Saccharomyces cerevisiae S288C: one gene and its partners. The gene in region 3 interacts genetically with the main gene of each other region. Each region holds a gene or a part of one and is shown on either strand. Other genes may lie near its edges. The genes, in order: ULP2, YKL069W, WHI5 and RIM1.

Region 1 (10,046 bases), on a different chromosome or scaffold from region 3:
GATCTTGGTATCCAGTGCATCGGCAAGTTTGGCACGGTCGTACGTAGTCAAACTCTTCAAAACTGGCATGCTCTTCAAAAGATCGTCATACATGAGTCTCTTCTTGAAAGAGCTGCCCAAAAGTATTTTTCTGAAGGTGAGCCTGTCTAGAGCCCACAACAAACAGTCGGAGGTTGCTACAACGGTGGCAGCACGAGGGCTGTTGTACATAAGAGCAAGTTCCCCGAAACTGGAGCCTGGCCCGGAAGAGTTGACCTTGTTGTCGTTGACGTAGAAGTCAACAGTACCCTTTTCGACGACATAGAAGTAGTCCCCTTGGTCACCTTGCTTGATTATCGTAGCACCTTTGGGGACGGACTTCTCCTCCAGACAATTTATGACCAGCCTTTTTGAGTCGGAATCCAGCTTGTTGAACAGAAAGTTATTACGGATCGATTTTTCCAGTCTTTGCAATTGCTGCTCGGACTTTTCCTTATAGTGATCTGGAGTCCAATCGTCAAAATTGTTTGGTTGTAAGGTCTCACCACTAACAGAAGTACGCCTTTGGGCGTTGAAGTGCATTGGGAGTGGAGGAGTTGATGTCTTTTCTCTAGTATGCTGTTGTTCTTCCTGTGCTTGCTGGTGAGTGTCCTGTTCGTGCGGGTCTAAATTAAACCCACTTTTAAACACGTTGGAGTGTGGGTCCTCGTTCACAAAGGGGGATTTGAACATAACACTCGATCTGGATCTTGATTGAGATTGAGCTGATTGAGGTCTGGAAAATGACTCCTCTGGTTCCGGAAATAGAACAATGTTCTTTGCCTTAAATTCAGGCTCCCTGGCCTTGAGGAACGCTCTCTGTTGTTCCAGCCTTTTATTGAAATAGTTGGCGGAGAACTGAAGAAAGTCGGACGGATTAGCGGCGTTGATTTCGTTCTGGAACAGTTGCAATTCGGCTTGCGATTCCTTGGGCAAAGAAGATACCATCGTTTATTCTTACTGTTGTCTTTTGAAAATAATCTGCTTGTTGTAAATGATCTTCCTATTTATGTATGCGTGAAATGCGTGTAATGGATGTGATGATAGCGATCGCTTGACTTAGTCGAGGAAAGCGTAAAGTGTCCCTTTTTCTCTTTCCCTTTTCCCTGTTTGTTCAAATTTTCTCTTTTCTACCTTCCTCTTCGTTTTGCTCCTTGCCAGCAAAACGAGGAAGGACAAGAATTTTGGAGAGCGGCGGCGCGGCGCCATAATAAATGCACTTGAGCAAATGCAATAAGTTCAGCTTATGGCTTCTGCAACAAAGAAGAGGTCGGAATCCGAGCACAGTATAATCAATATATTATCAGGCAGAACAAAAGTGGCGGGTATAACACGAAGAAAGAAGGAAGGGTGGTGATTGGGTGCTTTGTTTTTTTCCGCTCGTCGTGGTGGCATGCGCTTTTTTTTTCTTGGGTGAAGATTAGCCGCCGAAGTCGTATGCTCCTCTTTTGAGCGTTTTGAAAGATAGAAAAAAGCTGAGTAAGTAAAATCGTCGGCGGCTAATCTGAAAAGTATATAAAGTCCTTTATATTTTCCACTCGTATTCTTTTCCCTCCTCCTTTTTTTTTTTACTTTCTCACGTATGGCTTGTTTCATTTATTATCAGATCAGTAATCACGTGCCGTGTCGTTAGAAATGACATTTGGTTCTTTGCCTTCTTTGTCCTTTTTCTATCTTCCTACTAAGAGAAACTATTATACAATACAATAAGAGAACATCGTGAAACAACATAAAAGATATCACGTCATCAGAGAGAGATAAAACATCACAACCAATTACATTACAGTGTATTCGTTTCTTCTTAGAGAGAGAAATAAAGAGCGGGATAAAAGGACACTACACAGTATACCCCATACCCAGGTGCAATAATACACGTATATCTATGTTTATTGCACATCAAACCCCACATATATGTCTGCCAGAAAACGCAAGTTTAATAGTCTCAAACCGCTAGACACCTTGAACAGCTCTCGTGCCAGCTCTCCAAGGTCCTCTGCTTCTCTACCGCCCAAAAGATATAACACTTTTCGTAAGGATCCGAAAATCGTTGATCATCTAAACAATGCTTCTACAAAGGATTTCTTACCAGTTTTGAGTATGAACAGCGAGAGTAAGAGGCAGATCGAATTGTCGGATAATGATGTTGATAATAATGATGAAGGTGAAGGCGTCAACAGTGGCTGTTCAGATCAAGATTTTGAACCTTTGCAAAGCTCTCCTTTGAAAAGACACTCATCACTCAAAAGCACTTCCAATGGTCTTTTGTTCCAAATGTCTAATAATCTGGGGAATGGTTCACCGGAACCGGCAGTAGCGAGCACTTCTCCAAATGGCTCAATTATTTCCACTAAACTAAATTTGAACGGCCAATTTTCTTGCGTTGATTCGAAAACATTGCGAATTTATCGGCATAAAGCACCATGCATAATGACTTTTGTCTCAGATCATAATCATCCGAAATTTTCATTGTATTTTCAACAATCGGTGATCTACAATTCACAAGTTAATCTGCTTGATGATGTTGAATTGATAATTTTAGATAAGAAGAACTCTTTTATGGCTATAATTTTAAAAGATCTGAAAAAGGTCAAGATGATACTAGACGTGAATAACTCTTCAATCAACATTAACACGAACATCTTGATATGGTCCACTGCAAGCTCCGCTTCAAATAAAAAAATAAAGTCTATTAAAAGATTCCTGTTGATGTCATATTCTTCGTCGATAAAAGTCGAAATTTTAGATCATAAAGAGCAGATTTTGGAAAGACTAAAACATCTGATTCATCCTATTTCTTCGTCATCACCTTCATTGAACATGGAAAGGGCAATAAACTCCACTAAAAATGCATTCGACTCTTTAAGACTTAAAAAAACTAAACTTTCTACTAATGATGATGAAAGTCCGCAAATTCATACTCATTTCTTATCAAACAAACCTCATGGTTTGCAATCCTTAACAAAAAGGACTCGTATTGCCAGCCTTGGGAAAAAAGAGCATTCAATATCTGTTCCAAAATCGAATATTTCACCCTCAGATTTCTACAACACTAACGGGACAGAAACTTTACAATCCCACGCAGTTTCACAACTAAGACGTTCAAATAGATTTAAAGATGTTTCGGATCCAGCAAACTCAAATTCAAATTCAGAATTTGATGATGCAACTACGGAATTTGAAACACCAGAACTGTTTAAACCTAGCCTCTGTTACAAATTCAACGATGGTTCAAGCTATACTATAACAAATCAAGATTTCAAGTGTCTTTTCAATAAGGATTGGGTTAATGATAGCATTTTGGATTTTTTTACAAAATTTTACATTGAATCATCTATTGAAAAGTCAATTATCAAAAGAGAGCAAGTTCACTTAATGTCCTCTTTTTTTTACACGAAACTAATTAGTAATCCAGCAGATTATTATTCTAATGTAAAAAAGTGGGTTAACAATACTGATTTGTTTTCTAAAAAGTACGTTGTTATACCAATTAACATAAGTTATCATTGGTTTAGTTGCATTATAACAAACTTGGATGCGATCTTGGATTTTCATCAAAACAAAGATAAAAACGATGCCATCAACTCCGATGAGATTTCTATAAATAATCCTCTGGTTAATATTTTGACTTTCGACTCGTTGAGGCAAACTCATTCAAGAGAAATTGATCCAATAAAAGAATTTCTCATATCCTATGCACTTGATAAATATTCAATTCAACTGGATAAAACACAAATCAAAATGAAAACGTGTCCAGTTCCACAACAACCTAATATGAGCGATTGTGGTGTTCATGTTATTTTGAATATTAGAAAATTTTTTGAAAATCCGGTGGAAACAATTGATGTATGGAAGAATTCTAAGATTAAAAGTAAGCACTTCACCGCAAAAATGATTAATAAATATTTTGATAAAAATGAAAGAAATAGTGCGAGAAAGAATTTAAGGCATACTCTAAAACTCTTACAACTCAATTACATCAGCTATCTGAAAAAAGAAAATTTATATGAAGAAGTTATGCAAATGGAGGAGAAAAAAAGCACCAATATCAACAATAATGAAAATTACGACGATGACGATGAAGAAATTCAAATCATTGAAAATATAGATCAAAGCAGTAAAGATAATAACGCGCAGTTAACCTCGGAACCTCCCTGCTCACGATCATCCAGTATTTCAACAACAGAAAGAGAGCCGACAGAGTTGCATAATTCCGTAGTACGACAGCCCACCGGTGAAATAATAACTGATAATGAAGATCCCGTTCGCGCTGCTTCTCCAGAAACAGCATCCGTTTCTCCTCCCATACGTCACAATATTTTAAAGAGTTCATCTCCTTTCATATCAGAAAGTGCGAATGAAACTGAACAAGAAGAATTTACGTCACCATACTTTGGAAGGCCGTCTTTAAAGACGAGGGCTAAGCAGTTTGAAGGCGTTTCGTCACCAATAAAAAACGATCAAGCCCTGTCATCCACCCATGATATTATGATGCCGTCGCCTAAACCTAAAAGGATTTACCCAAGCAAAAAAATCCCACAACTTTCCTCGCATGTTCAATCTCTATCGACTGATTCTATGGAACGCCAATCTAGTCCCAATAATACCAACATTGTAATTTCAGATACAGAACAAGATTCGAGGTTAGGAGTGAATTCTGAAAGTAAAAATACTAGTGGTATTGTTAACAGGGATGACTCGGACGTCAATTTAATTGGTAGTTCACTACCTAATGTAGCGGAAAAAAATCATGACAACACTCAGGAAAGTAATGGTAATAATGACAGTCTTGGTAAAATACTTCAAAATGTTGACAAAGAACTGAACGAAAAGTTGGTTGATATTGATGATGTGGCATTTAGTAGTCCAACTAGGGGTATTCCAAGAACCAGCGCGACAAGCAAGGGATCAAATGCACAACTTCTCTCTAATTATGGAGATGAAAATAACCAGTCTCAAGATTCTGTTTGGGATGAGGGCAGAGATAATCCTATACTCTTGGAAGATGAAGACCCTTGAAAGCACTCGCACGCATAGTTTTATATTTTTTATTCTTTTCCTCTTTATTTTTATTTTTTTAACATTCTCGCATAATAATAGTAACAGCAATAAAATAACTAGTAATATACATACTCACATAAATAGGCATATTTTTTATTTTGTTCTTTCGTATTCAGAATGGTAAATTTTTCTAATGAAATGTTTTACAAAAATTTTTTTTCTATAATTCTAACAATAAGAAATAAAACAGTGGAAAAACATATAACTTAATGTAGATATATATATGTAAATATGCTAGCATTCATTTTAAATGTAAGGAAGAAAACGCCTTTAACTTTCATCTGGTAAATTTTCTAAAGCTCTACCCTTAGTGTAAACCTCGTCTTTTACATTCTGTACAGTACTTTTGAACCATTGAATGAACAGCACAGTTGCTTGGAAAAAGAACGTAAATGACTCTAATGCTATCAGTAGTCCGAAATAAATATCTTGCATCCTTGTCCATGTTGGGAATGATTCGTTAAGCGATAAAGTGAAACTCCTGGATCCATGGCTAATATCGATAATCTGCTTTGTAGAAACATCACGTAAAAATACTAAGGATAAAATAATAATCGGCAAGACGTAAATTACCATGTGCAGGAAACCTTGTTTAAACAGTTCCAAAGCCATTGTTTTCAAGAAGTTCAATTTACTAGTATTTCTGTTTCTGAAAAATAGTTTCAATGACTTATATCCGGTTCCGAAATTGACCATTGACGAAATGATCCAAACGACGAATAACAAACTCTCGTCATATTTAAACCATTTGGAATTACCAATAGTGTATGAAGAATTGCCAAACACTCTGATGGTGAGATAATTGTAACAGGCTAGTATACCATCGGTTAAGACGACCCACGAAACCATAGTTCTAATAACCGCAATCATGATAGCTATAAACACCATCAGGTTATACTTCACCAACATACTATCAAATATACTGTTAAAGATGGCCATGAAAATTCCTTGACCCTCTTCCACATTATTGATATTATTAACAGGGGCATTGTTGATATCTCTCTCTGGTATATCGTGTTCCACTTCCTCTACTTCGTTTTCGTCAACGGCATGTTCATCGAGAGTGTTTTGGCCTTCTGTAAAATGAAGAATATCCTTAGCAATCTTGGATAAACAAACAGATCCGACACAGACATAATAAATGTTCAAATAGGAGTAGCTAATGTCAGAGAGTTCCTTCCATGCAACATAGACCTTATTTCTTTCACCTAACAATAGCTTTACGACTGGAAGAAAGCCGAAACTACAAACAAAGTTTATTAAAGCTTGACTAATAAATGTAACACCAAGCATTAAAATGGAAGCAAATAACCAAACCAGGCCAAGCAATGTCATATAGCGTAAACGGAAATCTGGAGGGACGTAAACGATATAATATTGATCATATTCCGTGTTTTGTTCGTCTAAATAACCAAATTCACCAGCAGCACGTTTGTTTCTCTCTTTAATTCTTTCCAAATCTAATGGTTTCAACAGCTTATCATCCTTTGTAACGGGGACAAACATTGTTTGTACATAATTTCTGGATACTATATCAGAAGAAGGAACACGCATTAAAACGCCATCGGGGACAAAATAAGCATGAACGTCACGAACTTGCCCAAACAATTCTTCTGCTTGTTCTAGAGTCTTTGGTTTAGTGAAAAGTTCTTGGTTTGACCATTCTGCATTCTTGGCAGCAATGTACTTGTAAAACAAATTGCGGTAAACAATATGGCCTCTCTCTGTTGGGGTATCTTTACCTAAGATAAAGGATGATAAACGTAATTTTCTTGAACATAACTTAAAAATTGTTTTCCAATACCTTTCCAATAAGGGTTTAACGTAAGAGCTAGACTCCAGGATCCTCTTCGTAAAATATAAAGTTAGCAAAATTGTATTGAACTTCCATGAAATAATTGATGTTGGTTTATAAGCTTCAGGAACGGATAATAAGTTCGATTTGAGCATGAATGGGAAAAAAATTCTAGTATGGAAGCCAAAACCTAAGACAATAAAAATCGCATAAATAAACATGGATAAGCAAAGCCTTGATAATTGAATACTCATCGGATGAATTAAACTATCATGCAAGATCTTAATATTAGGATCTTCTGGAGATCTGATAAAGAATAGAACACCTGGTCTAATGATATTTTTCCTAATCATTCCGATATATTTGGCAAACCAATACATGTAGAGAGTACCAATCGTCCAGTATACGAAAAGGGAAAATGGAGGCCATATTGCGCATATTGAAGGAACCCAAAGCATCCGACTATTGGATGCCAGGATTGGGCAAAATAATGAGAAATCTAGCATTACACCAGCTAGAATGGGGAATCCAGCCAATTCGATGAAAAATAAAGTGAACACCTTGAAAGTGCATTTGAGTGCAAATAAAATCTGGAAAATCAGCCTTCTAGTAGGGTTGCTCATTCCGTTCTCACGGCCATAACCCCTCGAGACAAGATTGGATGAAGCACAAACGATACTGACTGAGGTTAGATACGTCGTTAAAGCAGGTAAAGCTCTGATGAAAATTGAGTGCTTCATGGTGTTTTCAGTGTAGCCGTTGTAAAGATAAATGATGTCATGAATTAAGTGGTCTGAAATCCAACTCATCGCGACATCTACTTTAGGGACCAGTTTCGTCAGCCCATTGTAAGCTATATGAGCGCCAGACAAGTAGTAAAGATGGCACAACCCACGCAAAATAACCTTAAATATACCAAAATAAATTTTCAACAAACCGAACCCAATAAAAGTTGGAAACAAATAGGAAATTGCCAGGTATATTGCGGTGAAAACTACGGCAATTATGAAATAAGCAATGACATTCAACAATTTCAATTTGAGATTTATCACTAGAGGGCCTTGTCCTTGATCGTCTGGGTTAGCCTGTGCTGGTGGCACACCAACAGCTGCGCCAAAGTCTTGTTCGTCTTGATCGACATTTCCAGCTCTGTTTTGGGCAGGTGGTGGGATGAAAACCGGAGCGTTGGGCCTGTTTATTGCGTTCTGTTGAGCAGCGATTAGGTCATCAAATTCATTTTGCGCACGACGATTTGCCCACATGTCAATCGGATTGGGCTCTATATGATCACGGTAATCTGCCTCTTCTTCTGGTTGCTGCTGTTGCTGTTGCCCCTCTGCTTCTTCATCTTCTTCGTTGTCACTTGAAGACCCCGGTAAAATTCGTGACGAATCATCACCTGATGGTAAACTATTGTCAGAGTCGTTGTTCTCGTGCTCTTCCGTAGCCTCATCATGATCTAATTCGTCTACGTGGCGAAGGTTTTCAAAATTCCGATGGTCATTAGGATCCTGAGGTGGAACGTTATCGTTTCTGGGATTAATAACATTATTATTATTATCTGCTGCTGCGGCTGGCATGTTCAGTCTATCATGACCTTGCTCTTGACGATTTTCGTCATGAGCTCTCATTTCCCTCGCTAAATATTCAACCATTCTATCATCCATCATGGGGAATCTTTCCTTCAAACGTGATTTCAAGTCCTTGGGAGATAATCTTGGACCTATCTTGTGGAAAACCATTTTACTGAAAACATCCTCTCTTACTATCATATCGTATTGAAAGTACAATGCTATATGTAGTATCACTATCATAATAAATTGTAAAGACGTAAACGAATGGTTTTGTAAAAGTTGGTAAAAAATTGCTCTCGTGGTTAATTCTGGAGTTGCTGACTGATCATAACCATAAATCAAACTCTTTAGGAAATCACCAGGATAAGGGGATGATCCATCTAGCATCATGGTGTATAATTTTCCAAACATGTTCCATACCAAAGGAACACCGATAATATATAGTACAGCGGCCAAACCAATCGTTAAAGCCAAACGAGCTTTTTCGAAAAATGTCAAGATGCTCTTGGATAGTAGTAAAGAAAAAGGTATCTTTTCGGGCATGTTTTCCGCATATATCGTTTTGAATTGAATGGGATAGTGACAGATGTCACATTTAACATCCGCGCCTGGTTTTGAAATGTCTATATTTTTTGAAGCTACCCATTCCAACAGACAGGATTCATGCATGTATTTAATTGAGCCCCTGCATTTACAAGGATGGAAAAGAGGATTGTCCTCAGTAGCTTCTCCACGACAAATACGGCAGGTGGCGCCGGATGGCGCATCATCATTGAAAGTGGCGGTATCTGTTTCCTCGTTTGCCACCTTATGCAGTTCATCTCTTAACCTGGAGACATTAACGTCAGAATCAACATCCATGACTTTCACACTTCTAGTCTCTTTGATTCAATTAGTGGTACTCTTGGCTAAAAAAACAGTTTTTGAAATCAGTAACAAAGAACTATTCTTAACGTAATCTTATGGCTTCATAGATCGGTCATAATCATCTTTTCAATGTCCTCAATCGATGCGTTTTCAACCAGTTTTCCGTCTCTAATGATTTAATTTTTCTATTGAATTGAAAATGGTAAAAAGATAGCCCTGTAGGGGGCTCGAACCCCTAACCTTATGATTAAGAGTCATACGCGCTACCGATTGCGCCAACAAGGCTATTTCGTTGGAAAAACTACTTATTTTAGGAAGTAATAGCACATTTAAGATGCTTGTTGGAATGAAACTTTAAAATATCATCTGTTTAGTACTATTCATGTTACTAATTAAGATATGGGTGAATTTTGAGATAATTGTTGGGGGTTCCATTGTTGATAAAGGCTTATAATATTATGTATACGGAATATACTAGAAGTTCTCCTCGAGGATCTAGGAATCCTCATAATGGAATCTATATTTCTATATACTAATATTACGATTATTCCTCATTCCGTTTTATATGTTTCATTCTCCTATTACATTATCAATTTTTGTATTTCAGCTTCCTCTAACCTCGATGACAGCTTCTCATAATTTACGCCATCCTCTTACACCGCATGTGATGCTATTACTACTAAATAGATAACATTAGAATTTCATTCCAACAGCTTTAGTCTGTTTTAATAAAC
Region 2 (7,364 bases), on a different chromosome or scaffold from region 3:
GAATGTGCCAGTGGTACTTGTACTTTGGCCGCCAAATAAACTAGAAGTACCTGCACTATTATTATTCTGCGAACCAAACAAGGTCCCTCCTGTATTCGGTTTATTGAAACCAAACGGGGAATTGGTACTGTTACTGTTATTATTAAATGCATTATTGGTATTACCACCAAAAGAACCCATTGAACTGGATCCTCCAAAAGTGTTCCCATTACTGGCATTTGAGGAGTTTAACGACCCAAATGGTGAGTTTTGGGTGGCACCCATTGACTGGCCAAATGCCCCATTATTTTGAGTATTGTTATTTCCAAATAAACTGTTACTATTACTGCCAGCGGCAGAAGTGAATCCACCAAATCCTGATTGGGCATTGTTACTGGTGGAATTGTTGTTGTTATTGCTATTTCCAAAAAGAGAGTTTGGTTGTTGCGATTGTTGCCCACCGAAGGATGACGTATTTGATCCAAAGGAAAGGTTGCTCCCTCCAAACATTGGTCTATTGTTGCCAAACATTGTTAGTACCTGAAAAAATTCAATGTACTAATAGTCCGGAATCAAAGCTAAAATATTTTGGTTAACAAAGACTGTTCTACGATATGTTATTTTCTTCTCCTCTTCAGGTCCAAAAGCGGTGGTCATTTGTAGATGACTTCAGCATAAATATGCTTTTTTTTTTCATGCTTTTTTTCTTCGCTTACGGCAAATATTTAAGGTGTCACGGTGATTGCAAGATGGGTAACACTTTCCGTTCTAACTAAGCATCAGAACATAATACAATCTAATCTTTGTCTAATAATCGACCAAAGAAATTTCCTAATGCTAAATGTTTTACTTTGAGAACGTTCTTGGAGAAGTCTCATTCCGATGTGCGGTTAACCTCTACTCCTATCAGGATAATGCTGCCCTTACTTGCAATAAACAGGTAGAAAAATACTAAAATACTGCAAATGTTTTCCATTAAAAGTTATTCTACACAATAGCTATTAAATTTGTGGTAAAGAGGTGAAAAAAAAAAAAACCTCTATAGCTTAATAAACTAAAAATTCGTACTATGCATAAGTAATCAAAACATGCATCTACACAAAAAAAATTGAAAAATCTATAAAAACACCTTCCTAAAAAATGAATATCGCCAATATCTATAACAAAAAGTCTCACCGGTATACAAGGATTGTTCAGAACAGCTAGCCAAACTTTAACAACCTCCAGCATTGACAATTAAAAATGTGAAAATAAAACAGCTAAACGAAATTACCGCCAAAATTGGTCTCACAGTTTACCAAATTTTTCCGTCATAGCACTCATTTGAGTCCAATATTTTAACTTAACGGGAGTTAAAGATCCTGTGTTGAGGTCTACCATCAGGTCTTCATCTTCTATTTCTTCCTGAGTTTGACTTAAAGCTTTTTGAAAACTTCCTTGCTTTTGTGTTTGAGAAAAGAGCCCATTTGACCTCTTTGAAGTACTTGATTCGTAAAGGTAACTGACGGAATGGTTTGCCTGCATTGTAGTTGATGATATATAATGTCGTTGATTTATGAGTTACTAGATGGCTACCATTAAGTCTCACTTGAAAATTCGCGGGAGCTGAGAGATGCAAGCATGTAACATTAGGTTCTGTAGTTATATATGATTGTTTCTTCCATTGCCTACATCAGAATCGAACTGTTCTAGGGCCTCACAGTCGAAACAAAAGTTTAGCGTTGTTTCGAGAAATGGCCGCACGAATGGCGATAGATGTCGAAATGCCACACTTTTAATTTTCTCGTTGCGTTTTTTTTTCTTTTTTGCCCTTAGCAGAGGGCAAAAAAGTGACAGAGGAGCCACAACTGCGGCCCGCGTGAACAAAAAACCCCATGATCTTTCTCAATTTTTTATTCGCATGCGACTCCTACATACACGGGACCTGCAAGGTGGTGCGGTGCAGCCACACGGAAGACTATTGTATACATATGTGATTGAAAATGCTTCTTTCCTTGAAAAGAAATAAAGGGATGCTACCTCTTCCTGTGGCACACCTTTCCTTGGACTTTGTATTGAGTAAGGATCCAGACACCTTTAGTGGCGAGCTTGATAATCCAGGTAACACAATATCGCCAATGATTTTTATCAAGTAAGACTATCGCATCCAGAAGATTATTAGTTTAATGTTGTTCGATAAGGCCTATTTTTAGGCTCTTTTTTCAACATTTCCAATCGTCATGTGAAAACTGTACAAGCCACTTAATTTCTCAAAGACCTCGCCACAGAGAAAAGCTCATATCTGTGGCATCACTTACTGCTTCTATGCATTGATAAATCTAGCTAGAATTTTCACCGATATCATGCAAGTAAATGATAGAAAATCATCACAGTTACGCATCAAACACATTTTGAACGTTCCTTTCTTCTTTACGGCAAAGTAAGCATGCCTTTAGCGAGACTGGGGTGAGCTGAAGAAGAACTTGCTGCACTATAGATATGACTTTAGATGTCCGTTATTCAACAATTAAGTGGTTTCGTGGTCTAGTCGGTTATGGCATCTGCTTAACACGCAGAACGTCCCCAGTTCGATCCTGGGCGAAATCAATTTTTTTTTCCGTCAGATATCTCCGTCATTTTCGTTGACGTTTTTTTCTTACCAAGCAAAGATATTTTTAATAAATGCTGAATATCCTTTGTTTGAGGGTAAACATGCCATAAATTTGCAATAAGGGTTACAAATAAAGATTGAGAGCTGTCAATTTGGCGAACAGGGAATGTTTTCTTCACCAATGATCTCCTGAAGCCCCTCAATCTTTCTTGATGTTTATCTCTATTCGTGCCCGTCCGACAATATATTTGACAAGAGAGCTACATGGGAATATTGGTTATGTGCGTAAATACTTGTTCGTTCTCAAAACTCTTATTTAAAGACACATGATTTATTAATTAATTTAGCAAGTTTTTCTAGGAATTCTTTGTCTACGTGGTCGAATCCTTCGTAATCCAAACAATCTATGTCTATGACGCCCAATGTCTTACCATCATTGGATATGATTGGAACAACAATTTCGCTCTTGGTTTCACCGTCGCACGCAATATGACCGGGATACTTGTTGACATCTGGAACAATCTGCGTTTCCTTTGTAGAGGCTGCAGTTCCGCAAACACCTTTACCGAATTGAATCATTTGGCAAGCGACCTTTCCTTGAAATGGGCCCAATATCAGTGTGTTTTCTTCGCTAGCTTGAGTAACGTAAAATCCAGCCCAATTGATATCAACAGCTAATGACTTGTACGCATGCCAGATCAATGACGAAGCGTTTGACAAATTACAAACCCAATTGACTTGTCCATCTGATAGCCCCTCGTATGAAAGCAGAAGCTGTTCTAGAATTTCTTCCTTATTCAGATTTGAAGAATAGTTAACATGATCGGCATGATGAAACCCGGTTGATGAGCCCATATCTGTTTGTTTTTTTTTGTTTTTTTTTCTAATTTACGGATTTGTTTTATCAGCAAACGCCTTTGTTTGCTTACATTTGGGAAAATCGTCATCATATAAACATGAAGAAACCGATGATATTAGCGTTCGTTAAAAAGGATAATACTTCGTTGTAAACTCAACTGTAAATATCTTTCTTCATTTCCTCCAAACATGGTTTTCTAACTGCAGGGAATAGGTAAACCTTTGCGTTTGTGTTCTTTCTGCATCACGGTGGGCCTTGCCCTCTGTTAAGTCAATATTAAAAGATAAGATAAGAAAAGAATGAAAACGAATAAATAATTATTGATATTTAATGCGCAGAGAAAATACAAAACTTATAAGCTACCTGGATAGTTATCTTTTACAAGGCGAGCCATTTCTTGGCCTCTTTCTCCACCAAATTCTTTGAATTTTCAACATATGCCTTCAACATTAATCTGTGATTTATTTTGGTCGAATTTGAACTTTGATTGAATATGGGTAATACTGATTTCAAGCCCGACAATGTTTTGAAGCATAGCATTGATATAATAATCTGGGGCATCAGAAACGCTCCACTTTACTTCGTACATTTTCCCCCTCAGGTCTTTTCTCTTCTTCTTGGTCAGTCAAAGTTGATAACATATTAATAAGCCAGTCTTTATCGTCGCGGATAATCCTTGGTGTACCGTAAACGTGCACAGCGGCAAAATCCCATGTTGGTACGAACTTATGGGTCTTTTTCTTCATTGGGAACCACGCCGGAGAAATGTATGAATCGACGCTCTGAAATACCACTAAGCATTTTTGAACTCTTTCCAGCATTTCCACATGTTTATTCTTCCGTGCTAAATGTGCAATAAGTTTATGCTCTCCATTATCGAACTCCACGAATACAAATGGAATATGTGATGCGCACATACCAAAATCGGGGTCATCTTTATTGGAAGAAGTTCTCCATCCGAAGAAACCTTGCCTGCTAGCCTTAGAGGAGAATAGTGTTCCTAGCGGGGGTTTTTTTGATAATTTGTACCTTGAGAGTTCCATGGACTCAAAATGTTTAGGAATGTACATTATGAAATAGATTCTTGGATTCTTCTCAGACTGGCAATTTATGTCTATAATATTAAGGGATGGTTTTCGGCGAATATGCAGAATCTTCGGTTCTAGGACCAGTTATATACCATCCTAATTAAAATCAGAGGACATAATAGAGATAGTTTCAAATCTGGTTAAGCGTTAAAAGATCAGCATACAAAGTGATGCCACAAAATACCTTCTTAAAGGGGCGTGAGGCAAAAGCAAAGTCACATCATATAGCACCTACCAATAAAAAAGTGTATTACACAAAGGTATATTCCGTATCTGAGTTGTATATAAGTAGCCAAATTTGCACTTATCTAAAAGACGCCTTCGCTGCCGTCATAGTTGAAGAACTTTCCATTATCTTCTGGTAAAATTTTTCGGAAGACATCAATTAGCGCAGAGGCACTTTCTTCTGGTGTGATAATATTTACGCCGCTGATGTCTATATTCTTCTCTTTAAAATGATCAAGGCCATATTGGCCCATATCAGTAGATACCATACCTGGGTGAAAAGCAACGACAGTAAAACCCTCCGGTTTCAATTCAAAACTGAGCGTCTTTACCGCATAATTCAAGGCAGCTTTCGATTGACCATAAGCGGAAACAGAAAGTGGTACAAACGCATTGATAGATCCTGCAACACTAGAGATAAAGAATATCTTCCTCGTCTTTTTCAAAAGAAGCAGTGGATAAACTTTTTGAAGGGCTAGTATCGGACCCAGAGCGTTTGTGCTATAATGGTTGAGCCAGACTGATTTGGGAGTTTCCAGGACCTTGTAATAAGAATCAGATACTGCAGAACATGCGATAAAAATATCAATACCCAAGAAGAATGGCGTTTTCTTGATCTCGTCCGCAATATTGCCAATACTTTCGTCCTTTGTAAGGTCAAGTTGGACAATATGGATATTCTTCCTGATTTTTGCTAAATCTTCCACTTGTTTGTTCTTGGGTAATGAAGGTGATCCACGAATAGAGGTTATAACTGTATTGCCCGTAGAAGCGCTTAAAATTTTGACCAAATTAAAACCAATTCCACGGCTACCACCGATGATAAAGTAAGTTATTCTTGATGAAGTATTCATATCGACTTTGTTTGCTTAGAATTCTACTGATTTATGCCACTGGTAAAGGCTTTATTCTTAAAAACGTCAAAAATTAGTTTTGAAGCATCGCCGCCTATTTATTATAACTGGTATACTATCTTACTTATTAGTACTACCATTTATACCGCTATGCATTACTAATCACATTACTAATCTCATTACTAATCTCATTACTAATCTCATTGCTAATCTCATTACTAATCTCATTACAAATAACTTTCTATTGAGGTATTTCTAGGGAATTGCGAAGTTGGTTTGCTTTTTATGAGACCCGCGGACGTTAATCGAAGATATAATCCACGGAAAAATTATATGTCCTGCAATTTGTGCACAGTATATTAATCGGGAACATATATGATTAGATTATTGCAAGTCATGCAAGCTAAAGTAAAACAAGCAATATCAGGAGCTCATAGATATATCATGCACACATCAGGTAGAAGATAGGAAATTATAGAAGATCTGAAGAAATTAGAAGAACTAAGCTCGACTAGCCTAATAGGAAAATGGTGTCCCTTATTTAACCTGAGAAACCAATATTTCGTAGTATCTTCTTTTTTTCTTCCATGGTAATGAGTCCAACAAACTTTGAGCTTCTAAAAAATATAAACTCCAAATGAACCTGATCAGGACAAATGTTCTCTAGGGTAGTTAGATACAAAACCTTTCGGATGAGGGATTTCTTATCCTAGCTATTTAATGAAGCAAAATAAAGCTGTTTCAAAAAGCTTAAGTGTTTGTACTTTTTTTTACCAGGTTAAAGAAACAGGAATAATTATTCGTAGAATTGCAAAATTTTTTATTGACGTACTTGTTTCTATTTTTTGAATAGTCAGTTCTTCGGAAGGCATTCAATAAGAGCCCAATATAAGGGTAAGGTGCACTTTTATACAAGCTGGCCAAAAAAACCGGGAAATGGCAAAAGTTCGAACTATTGTTTCATAGGTACTATTAAATCCTTTCATTTGGTAAAGAAAGGTGCTTGAATGACTTTGCAGACTATTTCTGTTTCCTACCGAATAAATTAGGTGCGCTTTAACGCGCAGTGATGTGTAGATCAATTGAAATGGGGAACTTGCTTATTGAATACAGGATTAAAGAGGAAATGGTACGGTACATTTTTGGATTTTGCCATAACTCACGATAAACTGTGGATGGCTGCATCAAAAGATGGAGAGTTGCTAGATGACCGTCACGTCTGCGTAGTCTCTTCACAACATGTTTTATTGACTTGGTTGATGCTATTGTAGTGATTAAAGAGAACGAGAGATAACGCAAATCAAAATTTTATGTTGTGACATTTGGAAATTGAAGGAATACTTATCTTCGAAAAGCCGGAGCAATGCTTTTACCTCGCTAGAAATAGCATGTCATGTAACATGGTAATGTTAGCTTTATAAATAACCGCGCTATTTAGTAGGCTACTACAATTAACTCCCAGACTTCAAATTAGTCAGAAATGTAATACAATGTTGTGTAACGTTAGTCATATGTTATAATTTGTATTCTCGCAGTAGAGGTAATTCACGATCTTAGGATTTGCGCATGTTTATGATCATAATGTCAAAATAAACTACGTAATGCGTAATTTTAAATAGTTCTTTTGCCCAAAGTAAATGCGCATTATTATAGCATTCGTTGATGTTTCCAGTATTATTGCGATAATACTGGGGCCTGTCCATGAAGTTTTAATAGCAAGTGGCTTAGCAAATATTCTAAAAATTGAGATGGTCACATAACGTGAAAAC
Region 3 (5,048 bases):
CAGTTTTTGTTTAGTCGTTTTAACCAAAGCTTCATTCTTGAACGAGTCGAAAGCCCGGTCAAACATCACCGCTCTTTCTTCAAGGGTCAATTGCGGAATGTGTGAGGACTGCAGCGGGGAGGTAAGGACAAACTCGTGGATGTGGTGATTAATCCTCTCGATCACCAGGTCCGGAGCCTCAACGTTGACCAAGTGGGAGCCGCCGGGAATGACATCGAGATGGTAGTTCTGTAGAGTTTTCTGCAAAAACAGCTGATTTTGCGGAGGACACCAGTTGGAGCGCGCGCCCACAATGTGGATAGTCCGCTTCCTCACAAACTTCACATTGCTGATCAGGAAAGGCGCAAAAGTCTGCATGTTCATGTAGCAGAGGAGATTTTGAGCCTGCTCCATCTTCGTGCGAACGGGTCCACCATCTTCATCGTCTCCAGAGGCTTTTGTCCTCTCAAAATCGATGATGTTTTGCAGGATTTGGCTGTGCGCATTGGTAAAAAAGGAACCGTTCCTCATATATTTTACATATTCGGACTCGTTAGCGAAATGGTCGCACGTCTTTAAACGTAGGGAGTTATAAAGATTTTCTGGGATCTGCGGAGAATCGGGCGGAAGCCCTGGCCTCCCGGCGCCGATGGCTTTCCGTGTGATTACTACAGGCTCGATCAAGATGAGCAAATGAAACAGATTGGGCTGCAGGACGTCACACGCAAGAGCCTGGAACCCGCCCATCGAGTGGCCGATGACTACGTTTAGTGCCGGGTGGCTGTCAATACTGCCCAACTCGCATGTGGCAATCTTGAGCACGTCGCGGGCCCCGTCGATCCAGTTGAAATTGGTGCCGAGTCTGCCGCGGTTGCGTACCGCAGAATCACCGTGGTTAACCTGGTCGATCAACAAAACCTTGTCGATGGCATAATTGCCCTCCGCATCGGCGGCTACCAGACGCGGCAAATAGTACTCCCATACCACCTTACTCATGCCGCTGCCGTGCAAAAACACAAGGTTAAGCCTAGTGGCAGTGCGAGAGCGGCGTTGCCGCTCTGCGCTAGTGTACACATCGTATGTGAGCTCGAGGCGATCTGTCGCACACAGCGTCGACTGCGGTGCGCGCGGCCAGCTAGCGCTACAAGTTTTCGTTTCTTTCTTGAACCTGTTCTGTTCCATTTTAGCCGCGGATGTTGATCGGCGGATACGCAGAGATAAGCAGAGTACGCACTAGTGAGCTTTTTTAGCACGCACATTACGCACTTTATATATATGCTAAAGGGTGCAGCAGCGGGCGCGGCTGCACTAACTCCGAGATTGCGGAGAAAAAACTCGTACTACCACATTAAGACGTCTCCACTTCGGTATCCGACTCGGGCTCCGTTTCGTCCGTGGGTTCTCCAGCAGATGTCGCCGGCACGGGTCGGTGTTGTTGCTTCTTGGTAGGCGACGACAATAGCATCAGTGTTTCGACAGCCGTGGCCTCCTCCCGTGGTGGGTGGCCTCCGAGCGCCTGAAGAAACGCTGTATGCGCGGAAGTACCCGCGTCTGCACTATCTGGAAATCTGTTGTGATAGCGACGTGGCGGCGTCTGCACTGCTGGAGCAAGCTCCGTCTCCAGCTCGGGAAGTGTCTTGTCCGTCCATCCATTTTGCAGCTTGACTAACGCGTAATTGAGCCTGGTGCGCAAAGTATGTGATATTTCGCGGATGGGCCGCTCGCCCGTAGACCGACGCGCAGCCGTCGGAGGTGACCTCAAACGCGGCGACGGCGACAGAAACACCTCCGACCGTCTTGACTTGGGCGTTGTCGGTGGCAACAAAGGCATACTAACGTGTCCGTCGTACTTCTTTTGATTTTCATTTTCTTCTTCATTTTCGTCGTCCTCACTCTCACTTTCGTGTCCGTCGTCGTTATGGTCATATACACGTCCATGTGCGGTTATGCCGACACGACGCTTATTGACGGGCGACATGAATATACCCTGAAGACTCGTTGTCGACGGCCTTCTTCTCGATTTAGTGATGCTTTTCGTTATGCCTGGTGGTGACGGCGGCGATGGTGTTCCAAAGCCATTTTTGAGACGTACTGGCGTGCTCAATAGAGTGGTTGGCCCAGGTCGCTGCTGATGCTCGTTGTTTACATGTGTATCTGGGTTCTGTACCTGCTCTTGTTCTTGTTCTTGTTCTTGTTCATCGCTAGTCCTGCTTCTCTTCGGCGTTCTCAAACTCATATTCTTCAATGTCTCTACTATTTTTCGTTGCTATTAATATCTGGTTGTGCTTTCTTCCATCAGGTTCTTTGCCTTGTTTTGCCTTTGTTTTGTTTTGTTTTGTTTTGTTTTTTTTATTTTTTTCGTTCTGCTCTTGAAGTTTTCGCTTCCCTTTTCCCCCTTCCCTTTAGCACCAGAAGTCATGAAACAATTAGTAAATCAAGAATTATCATTAAGGCAGCGCGAGGAATTATATAAAACAAAAAAAAATAAAAAAATAAAAAAAAAAAAAAATAAAATTCGAAAACAATAGGAGACAAAAGACATCATAAACAGCACAAGGAAGACGGTTCTGTTTCGTTGCTATGTCTAATACCTTGCCAGTAACAGAATTTCTTTTATCCAAATACTACGAACTTTCCAACACTCCTGCCACAGACTCATCATCGCTCTTCAAATGGTTATACCACAAGACTCTCTCCCGTAAACAGCTGCTCATATCCGATTTGTCTTCCCAGAAAAAACACGCCATCTCCTACGATCAATGGAATGACATAGCGTCGCGATTAGACGACTTAACGGGACTTTCCGAATGGAAAACAATCGACGAGTCCTCGTTGTATAACTATAAGCTGCTGCAAGACTTGACCATCCGTATGCGCCATTTGAGAACCACTCACGACTACCACCGCCTGCTTTATCTGATTAGAACTAAGTGGGTCCGTAATCTTGGCAACATGAATAACGTTAATCTTTACAGGCACTCGCATACCGGCACAAAACAAATTATACATGACTACCTAGAAGAGTCTCAAGCAGTGCTCACCGCGCTGATCCATCAGTCAAATATGAACGATCACTATCTCCTCGGTATTTTGCAACAGACGAGAAGAAACATAGGGCGCACGGCTCTCGTGCTTAGCGGTGGGAGCACTTTCGGCCTTTTCCACATTGGTGTTCTTGCCGCCCTTTTTGAATCGGACCTGATGCCTAAGGTGATCAGCGGTAGCAGTGCTGGCGCCATTGTTGCCAGCATATTTTGCGTCCACACGACCCAGGAAATTCCCTCCTTGTTGACCAATGTACTTAATATGGAGTTTAACATCTTCAATGACGACAATTCCAAATCTCCCAACGAAAACTTACTAATCAAGATATCGAGGTTCTGCCAAAACGGTACCTGGTTCAATAATCAACCTTTGATTAACACAATGCTTTCGTTTTTAGGAAACTTGACCTTTAGGGAAGCCTACAACAAGACTGGAAAAATCCTGAATATCACAGTCTCGCCTGCTTCCATATACGAACAGCCGAAACTACTAAACAATTTAACCGCTCCAAACGTTCTCATCTGGTCTGCCGTATGCGCATCTTGTTCTCTACCTGGAGTTTTCCCCTCCACGCCGCTATTCGAGAAAGATCCTCACACTGGAAAGATTAAAGAGTGGGGGGCAACAAATTTACATTTATCAAACATGAAATTCATGGACGGATCTGTAGATAATGACATGCCCATTTCTCGTCTTTCTGAAATGTTCAATGTCGACCACATTATCGCCTGCCAGGTAAATATACATGTCTTTCCCCTGTTAAAGTTTTCAAACACTTGCGTTGGGGGTGAAATTGAAAAGGAAATTACCGCCCGTTTCAGAAACCAAGTAACAAAGATCTTCAAATTTTTTTCCGACGAAACTATTCATTTTTTAGACATCCTAAAGGAGCTTGAGTTCCATCCCTATTTGATGACCAAATTGAAACACCTTTTTTTACAACAATACTCTGGCAATGTCACAATTTTACCCGATCTATCAATGGTTGGTCAATTCCACGAAGTATTGAAGAACCCATCTCAACTTTTCCTATTGCACCAAACTACTTTAGGTGCAAGAGCTACTTGGCCGAAAATTTCCATGATTCAAAATAACTGTGGCCAAGAATTCGCCTTGGATAAGGCCATCACATTCCTAAAGGAGAAAATAATAATCTCTTCGTCAATAAAAAACCCTTTACAATTCTACCAACCTCGATTCAGTGAGCAAATCAAATCTCTTTCCATAATGGATGCTGACTTGCCGGGAGTTGACTTGGAAGAATCCTCCTCCAATTCACTATCAATTATCAAGTCTCCCAACAAAACAGCGGCACCGGGAAGATTTCCTCTTCAGCCATTGCCTTCTCCATCTTCTACCTTCAACAAGAGGAAAATGGATATGTTATCGCCTTCTCCATCGCCTTCTACATCTCCACAACGTTCAAAATCTTCATTCACGCAGCAGGGTACAAGGCAGAAGGCAAATTCTTTATCGTTTGCCATCGGTGCATCTAGTTTACGGCTAAAGAAATCACCATTGAAGGTTCCATCACGACCTCAATTCAAAAAAAGATCTTCTTATTATAATCAAAATATGTCGGCAGAGATGAGGAAAAATAGAAAAAAATCTGGAACAATTTCCTCTTATGATGTTCAAACAAACTCAGAAGATTTTCCCATACCGGCTATTGAAAACGGTTCATTTGATAACACTTTATTCAATCCAAGCAGGTTCCCCATGGACGCTATGTCGGCTGCCACAAACGACAATTTCATGAACAATTCAGACATTTTTCAAAATTGAAATGAAAGACAATAAGTACATTTTTATATAAAAAGCTTTCTATATTCTCACCTCCATCAACTCCAAAAGGTACATGCCATTTTGTTATATTAAATATTCTAAGAATTTTCCGAAGGATACTGCATTATCATCAGTGATTTATTAATCTATGAGTATGAATATGAATTAATTCCAAATTTTCTCCATACATCTCTTTCATAAACACAATCCACTTGAGTAACTAAGTTCTGCGCTCGGAT
Region 4 (7,434 bases), on a different chromosome or scaffold from region 3:
AATAGAAGTACAAGTTATATTTATCGTTGTCCAACTGCAGAAGTTAAATAAAGGTAAATAAATCGAGCTAAGAGAAAAAAAAAGTATAGGCAAAATTCCGACCGGAGCTAGCTTTATCTTGCTCCTCCACCTAAGTCACCTGCTCAGGTCACTCAAGTTCACAATCTTCTGAGAGGATAGATAAAGGAAAAATTGGAACAGATCTTTTCATGGCCTGGCAATTGTCTGTGGATTGGTAAAGCTCTGTCAGTGAAAAAAAAAGTTCTCGCTCCTTCTTGGTCTCTTCTATTGCCTGAGATTCTAATGCTTTCCTTACATTGTTTCATAAAATAACCAATTTTTCGTGTCACAATAATCTTGAAATTTGAAGTTTCTAAAATGCATCAGACATGGTGTCGTAATTAGTTGACTTACTTTAACTTCTACCAAGAAGTAGAAAATAGCAGAGTGCGTGAACGCATAGCAGAGAACAAAATACTTACTAAACCTTTTCGAATAAGTTAGCAAGAAGCTTTTAAAAACATAGACTTAGAAATTGTCCTGCACTTGGCAAGGAAGAAAAGAAAGATTAGTTAAACAGAAATCGAAAAATGCATGATGAAAAACTAAGTAGACCTCTTTAGAAGTGTCTTAGCGGCTATTGTTCATGATACTTTTGAAAAGAGCCCTGAGATTTTCCATTACCATCAACAGGACCAATGAATAGCTAAAAGAATCGAATGTATCTATCGGAAAGGATTTGAAATTTCGGCCATTTCCTCATTATGAAGTTCAACTTCCATACTCTCGTCGTCGCCATCATTTTCATTATCCTGGTTGTCGTCATCGTCATCTTCTCCGGGCATGTCATTAGCATCTATATAAGGAACCTGTTTCTTAGACAAATTCTCTTTTATCTGTAGTGAGCGTATGACGACCGAGACAATTCCGCTTGATATTGCCGTAGCCAAGAGGGCGTAGCAACCTCTCTCAAACTTGGGCACCATATCTGAAGCAAAGAATAATATAGACCACCATGCGTTAACGGCCCCTGAAAACATATTCATGGAAGCAAGAACGATAGCACGTTCTTGAAGATCTGCATGACAAATAATGTTTGCCCACGAAAAAAAAACCGCTTGTCCAGCGTATGCTACGCCTCCAAGATACTGTGCAGAAAAGACGACTTTTGGATTTAGTGGGTCTGCACGTATTAGTACCGCAACAATAACCATTACCAATGATATGAAAACAGAAACATGCCAATGCCTAGCTCTTGGGATCTTACTCATATATACAGCAGAACAAAGCGTAGAAACTATACCTACGGCAAATATCCCCGAAGGATAATTATTTCTTTGCGCCAACGTATATTTTTGGTTTTGTAACCATAATGCAAATGTAGAATTAGATGCGAAACCCAAGTTCTCACCTCCCAGAACCCAAACAAGAGAGAACATCCACCAGTGCCACCTTTTTAAGACTCTAGGAATAGTCGACCAGTCTAACCGGGTGCTTTCGTCCCTAGCGGGGAGCCTTCTCCTAGCATAATGTAGCTCTTGTTCATTAAAAATGTATCTCGTCATAGAAAATTTGCTAACAGCACTTGTTTGATCAGGAAGGCCGGGGAAGAAAATAAACCCATAAATTGCAATGGGTAATGTGATACAAAAATCAATAATGAATAACCATCTCCAACCCGCCAAGCCATTCCGCCCATTCAAATGAGTAAAGATACTTGTTTGCATAAATCCACTGAACATAGATCCCACCAAACCGCTACCTGTAAAAATAGCACTTCTAATGGGCAATTCGTCTTCTTTATACCACGAACCCAAAACAAAATGTGTTCCTGAAAATGTGCAACTCTCAAATAAGGCTTGAAAGAATCTAATTGCGCAAATATGTTTGAACGATGTAACTTTGTACATTCCCAAGGTCAATAAACCCCAAGCAAACGTACAAAAACTTAGCCATATCCTGGGCGGAACACACAATAACATTAAATTATTGGGGACCATACCTACAATGTAACCAATCATGAAAACTGTGTTAGACACGGTCAAATCGTTTCCGACCATCTTAAGATCTTCCTTCATACCGGATATATATGCATTGGTGAAACCGACACGGTCGACATAATTAATCCAGTATTGCAAGCAAACAAATGATAGCACAAACAAGTCTATTTTAAACAGAAGTAATCTCTTTTTAATGGCACGCTTGGAAGAAACAGATTCTCTCTCAACCTCATGTTGAGTGATAGATTTCGATTCCTTCATCATGACTTAGGCCCAGGCTCTCTCCAATCAAAAATTCTGAAAACAGCTTCTCAATCTTGAATAAATCGGAATACTTTTATATCAGAATTACAGGTCCGCCTCATTTCTCTTAAGAGCCGATGTCTTCCTTTACAATATACGCATGTAGAAGATTTGATCGATGCTGAGTTCTTGTAATTCGTCAAAAATGCCTTTCAAGATCGACTACTCAAAATCTACAATAATCGGACTGCATGGATCAATGGAGGTGTAGGCAATTTTGTAACAATGAAGGATATGTTAAATTCGCTAAAGCTTCCTCCTCTTTTGCTAAATTTCATCATCAAAAAGCATTTTGCATAACACACGTTAACCAATATATTATAGTATATATACATTCTATTTGAGAATAAGCATAGTTTTACATAACTAGTTCGTTATTCCAAATGTATTTTTCCTATTTGCCATAAATATTTTAAGTAAAAGAAAGCATGCTCTAGATAAAAAATATCGAGGAAGAGTCGAAATAAGCAAGCGTAAATATTACAATTATTCTGAAGAAGCAGCATTTTCTTGGCCCTCAGCATCTTCTAATTTCTTCCCATTCTTCAATAAATTAATGTCCTTTTGAACTAAGCTCAAAGTAGTACCCTTAGAACCGTCGTCTCTCTCGAAGACATAGTTAGCAGCATCTGCTTCAACATATACCAAAGCGCTGAATAAATTATGGAAAGGAAATGTTAGTAAATTATAACGCGTAATTGTAAAGTAAGTAAAATTGAAGAATAAATAACATACCCTTTTCTAACATATTCTGTCAAAAAATTGATTTGAGGTTCATTGAAAACGGTGATATTATACCAATTGGTTTGGCCATCTCTTCTTGGTTGCGAAGCGATACTATATTTCAAATAACGATTGTTATTAGCAGAAGTATGTTCAGTGAATTCAGAGCCAATGCGGCCGACGATGGACATTTTCGAGAAGTCCATCTTCTTGGTAGTAGCATGGAAGAAACGAGCTTGAGTACGTAAAAACATTACAATGGATTAGTGGATTTTTGTTTGTTTTGTATTTGTCAAGGACACACAATTAGCAAATGACTTGTTATCAAATTCGTGGTATTTGTCTTTCTCAACTACTGTGTTAGCTTTTTTTTTTTCGTCTGGGCGCAAACGCCTTTTAAGCACTCCTCCACAAATAATAAGTATTAGATGAAAAGTCCTAAAAGTCCGAAAAATGGAATAGAAAAGAACGAAAATACAGAATCTTTACAGAACATTATAGTACATAAGTGTAGTTCTACGTAAGTCTTAAACAAAGGTTTCAAAAGGAAAATATGATTTAGCGGCGCCACCTCCATAAATTATGGATTAGCAAACAAAAGAACAATTAATATTGAAAAATAGAAGCATAGCAGAAATATCAAGCGAGACCATGGTAGTTACCAGTGGTCAAAGTTCTTTTTGTGTTTACATCGAGCCACTCACCACCAAATGGATTGTTTTCATCCAGCTCCTGACAAGTCAAGGTGATTCCACTGCCGGCTCCGCTATGGGGTAGAGCCACGTTATCCGTCTCACTGATAGTGAATTTGGTAATCACGCCTTTAGCGGATTCATGTGCCAGGCCGTCTGTAATAAATCTGGCGATTAATCTTTGACCTTCACCATTTCTTGTCAAAACAACTGGTTCTTTAAATCTCCACGTTATTCTCTTCTTTTCTTTACTGAAGGAGCCCTGAGGTTTTGATAAAGCGCTTGTTGCATTAGCACCATCGATATTCACAAAGACAACGAGGTCTTCTATTACGATTTGTGATATTTCATCGGGTAAGCTTGGTGACATCTTGACAGTCAATACAACACTTGCCTGGTGAGATTCAAATCTCCAGACCGGATGAATAACAATAGGCGCGATCGGCTCCTTTATGGAATATTTAATAGCTCCTAAGGTTCTAGAATCGATAAATGAAGGGTTAACTTTGAATTCTTCTGGAGCAACACGCTCAATAAAGGCTTGGTTCAGAATGACCTTTTCGAACTTAGCGCCATTATTGATTCTCAAATTAATACCGATAGGTAAAGGCGAATTCATGACAGAATTGGGTAAATAGTTGAGGGCAATTTCCCCAATCAGTTGGGAGTTCTGCAACATACCGTCTTTGAAAGAAGCATTGAGCACTTCTGCGATACTAGCATTCAACCCAAATTGAGATGTATCTAAAGAGGAGTGCTGAAACAACGATTGACCAACTAAAGATGTTGAAGAGCCCGTGGCTTGAGGATTTAGTTCTCTTAGCTCGCCAGTAATCTGAGAGGAGAGTGTGGAAACTGGACGTTCCTGGGGAATAGAGGACAAGGAAGAAGAAGTAGGGGTAGCGCCTGAGCCGTGATTAGGCAAAGAGTCATAGAGTTGAGAATCCCTGTTATGAATGAAATTTTGTTTCCTTGAGGGTGGTAAAGCAGGTGCGCGGATATGCAAGGGCCTTGAATCAACTTGACCTGAAGGTTGGTTATCAACCGTAGCAGTAGGAAGTGAAATACTGGGAGAGGCAGGCTCAACTGGTAATGGTTTTGTTTTTGATTGTGGCTGAAGTGGAGGTTGAGAAATTGATATCGGTACTGTCTTGGGTAAGTTACTTGAGTCTGGTTCTTTCGCAGTGGGTGGAGAACTTTGTTGTGGCGTTGAAGGAGGCACTTCAGAAGGAGTAAAAGTTTGCGCAGGTGGTGTATCGGCAGTAACAGGTGCATCTACGTTTTTAGGAGTAGCATGGGGAGGAAGAGGAGGAGTGTCACTAGCTTCACCCGGGGTCCAATTGTTTGATTTTGATGATGAATAGGTGGGTCGACGTTGCTTCTGATAAATAGAAGAAGTTGCAGTTGAAGACACTCTGGTGGAAGAATTATTCGGAGTCTCAGTGATGGATGCCTGAATATGAGAGTTTGATGATGATTGTTGTTGTCTCTTGTTCTTGGTCTTATTTCTACCGAAAATTGAGCCCACTTTAGATCTTAGGGTGTGGGACGACTTTTTTGATTTCAAGGAAGAATTATTAGTAGAGTCTGAAAATTCGTTATTCATGAGATCATTATGAGTGAGACTGGAAGATGCAGAGGCAAGACGATGTCCAATGTTTCCAAATGCACTCTTACGCTTATCCTTTTGTGGGGATTTCTTTTCTCTTTCCGTATTAGCGGCACCATTGGATACAGAGACCGGGCGGGCACCAGTGGCAGAAGCTGGCGAAGCATTATTAGGAACTACTTCTTTGGAAGAAGAGGATAGTTGGAAGTTGTATTGACTGGCATCTTTGGCAAAACGATCAATTTCACTTTGCGGTTCGAATGCCAGGAATTTCGTCATCACCGTTTCGCATTCTTTGGTAGTATTTAGTAAATAATCGCTAAAACTGGTTTGAAATCTAAGCATACAGTTTTTTAAAGTGTCCAAACGGTTATAGTCAATAGTCTCGAACAGCTCAAACAAATAGGGGCTTTGCTGGTCCCATTGCCTTCTTGCCTCTTCTAAGTGACTAGAGTTTTCGTTATTCTTACTATAGTGCTCAATTGAAGCTGCATTTTTACTAAGCTTGGAATGTAAGTCCTTGCTTTCTCTCCAGCTAGTATTGTTCTCCACGGATTCCTTCAATTCACGAACGACTTGCTGGTCCAAAGTGTTGTAGTATTCTGTACTTGACTTCAAATCTGATTTTAGTTCTTCAATTACAGTATCCCATACATTTCTTAGCTCTCCCAGCGAGTTGAATCTGAATGCACTCATTTCCTGCGGAGTCAAAACATTACTTTCAATCATTTGAGCGTTTAAGATCTTTGTTATATCTTCATTTTCAGCTATTATTTTTCTCAATTGCTGAGCATAGTTCCTCTTCAGATTTGCCAATTCCTTAAATAACAGGTAAAAGTCTTTATTCAACAATTTGACCTGCGATAACCTGATTCTAATAGTTTCGGTAGCCTCGTAAGGACTCTTAGTAGTCAATATGCTATCTGCATATTTGGTTCTTTGTTCCGTCATGAGAGGTGATTATTCGCAATTTTCAAATAAGCTTGCTTCAATACGACTACAGCAAAAGTAATTCCTTTATTAAGGCAATAACTACGAGACCTTTTCTTTGTATTTCGTGAAAACTTGAATGCAATATAGAGTTTTTCAATCTGCAAGTACTTAAGGGGCCCTTTTAGCTACACATAATATAGAAATGAAAGATCACGGGCTACGAAAAGCCATTCATAATCATATACAAATATCACCTGTAATATATAAGAATATATGAGCTATTGATTTTCTTCTACCGCCTGATTTAGTTGTTTTCACTCTTCAAAACTAAATTCAGTATTAGCGACAGTGGAGGTGCTAGTACTCTGTAAATGAAAGTAAACGCTGGTATTCATGTAGAGCACCAACCTGACTGTGAATGCGTAAGCTGAAACATGATAGCCGCCTGTAAAATATTGTTATCAATAAGTAGACCGGCTTACACGAATAGGATTCGCTTTATTCTTTACTCCCCACTCAACCCTAAGCAATGTTCAAAATAGTGTGAGATTATTTTATGCGCGCCTCCTTCAAAAAAAAATTTACATATATAACATAGGTGGAAAAACTTCCCTCCGATGTCTAATAAGTTAATCAATAGAATGAAATGGACACGAAAAGGCGTAGACATGGAAGATGACAATGACGAGAACGTCATTTTTTTTTCCACGTATTTTAAAAAGGGGTAGCCTGCTTCACCAGATGTTCTTGTCAACAAAATTCTAAAATGATGATTTTTTTAAACACAATTTATGCTAGATAGTATCTGAAAGCATTCAAACTTTATGATTACAGTGTTTTCGACAGTTTTAAATCTCTGAACCGATTTTGTAACTCTTGGTAATTGTGTCCTTACATTTCCGTAATGACGTTAATCAAATCGCAATCTTGAATCTTCTTAACTAAAAGGTTATAAGGGCTTTTTTTTATTACTAAATTGACGTATGAGCTGATTTGATTATGGGCGCTATATAATTATATGTACACATTTTTTAACTGTAAAAAATAATACGGCAATACAAGTACAATACATGCATAACTCATAATCTTCTACCTCTTCTACCACCCTTCTTTCTGGTGGAGTCAGATGGAACTGGGGTAACATCTTCGATACGGCCAATTCTCAAACCAGATC

Evidence for each region.
Region 1: of WHI5 (region 3) and ULP2, changing one suppresses a phenotype caused by changing the other (phenotypic suppression), as found in Saccharomyces cerevisiae (2 studies listed by BioGRID).
Region 2: mutations in WHI5 (region 3) and YKL069W together harm fitness less than expected from each alone (positive genetic interaction), as found in Saccharomyces cerevisiae (2 studies listed by BioGRID).
Region 4: mutations in WHI5 (region 3) and RIM1 together harm fitness more than expected from each alone (negative genetic interaction), as found in Saccharomyces cerevisiae (2 studies listed by BioGRID).

Annotation. Positions count from the first base shown.
Region 1 is NC_001141.2:290,704-300,749, forward strand, and holds ULP2 (SUMO protease ULP2), read left to right. Parts: upstream 1-1,929; coding exon 1,930-5,034; downstream 5,035-10,046. Other genes in the region: cAMP-dependent protein kinase regulatory subunit BCY1, read right to left, coding at 1-966; E3 ubiquitin-protein ligase SSM4, read right to left, coding at 5,347-9,306. UniProt on the Saccharomyces cerevisiae protein: Insertion mutation in SMT4 confers temperature and benomyl sensitivity; high copy suppressor of a temperature sensitive mutation in MIF2.
Region 2 is NC_001143.9:303,345-310,708, reverse strand, and holds YKL069W (L-methionine (R)-S-oxide reductase), read right to left. Parts: upstream 3,425-7,364; coding exon 2,882-3,424; downstream 1-2,881. Other genes in the region: FG-nucleoporin NUP100, read right to left, coding at 1-510; YKL068W-A (uncharacterized protein), read right to left, coding at 1,267-1,503; YKL070W (uncharacterized protein), read right to left, coding at 3,989-4,498; OSI1 (Osi1p), read right to left, coding at 4,825-5,595. UniProt on the Saccharomyces cerevisiae protein: Catalyzes the reversible oxidation-reduction of the R-enantiomer of free methionine sulfoxide to methionine. Does not act on S-enantiomer of free methionine sulfoxide or R-enantiomer of dabsylated methionine sulfoxide.
Region 3 is NC_001147.6:476,700-481,747, reverse strand, and holds WHI5 (transcriptional repressor WHI5), read right to left. Parts: upstream 2,216-5,048; coding exon 1,328-2,215; downstream 1-1,327. Other genes in the region: LPX1 (triglyceride lipase), read right to left, coding at 1-1,161; TGL5 (triacylglycerol lipase), read left to right, coding at 2,560-4,809; DNA-binding SCF ubiquitin ligase subunit DIA2, read right to left, coding at 4,956-5,048. UniProt on the Saccharomyces cerevisiae protein: Transcriptional repressor that negatively regulates G1-specific, SBF- and MBF-dependent transcription. Binds via SBF to promoters of G1-specific genes to repress transcription in early G1.
Region 4 is NC_001135.5:170,161-177,594, forward strand, and holds RIM1 (Rim1p), read right to left. Parts: upstream 3,281-7,434; coding exon 3,039-3,280; intron 2,956-3,038; coding exon 2,790-2,955; downstream 1-2,789. Other genes in the region: FEN2 (Fen2p), read right to left, coding at 726-2,264; SYP1 (Syp1p), read right to left, coding at 3,666-6,278; 40S ribosomal protein uS11 RPS14A, read right to left, coding at 7,340-7,434. UniProt on the Saccharomyces cerevisiae protein: This protein binds preferentially and cooperatively to single-stranded DNA (ssDNS). Involved in mitochondrial DNA replication. Stimulates PIF1 helicase activity.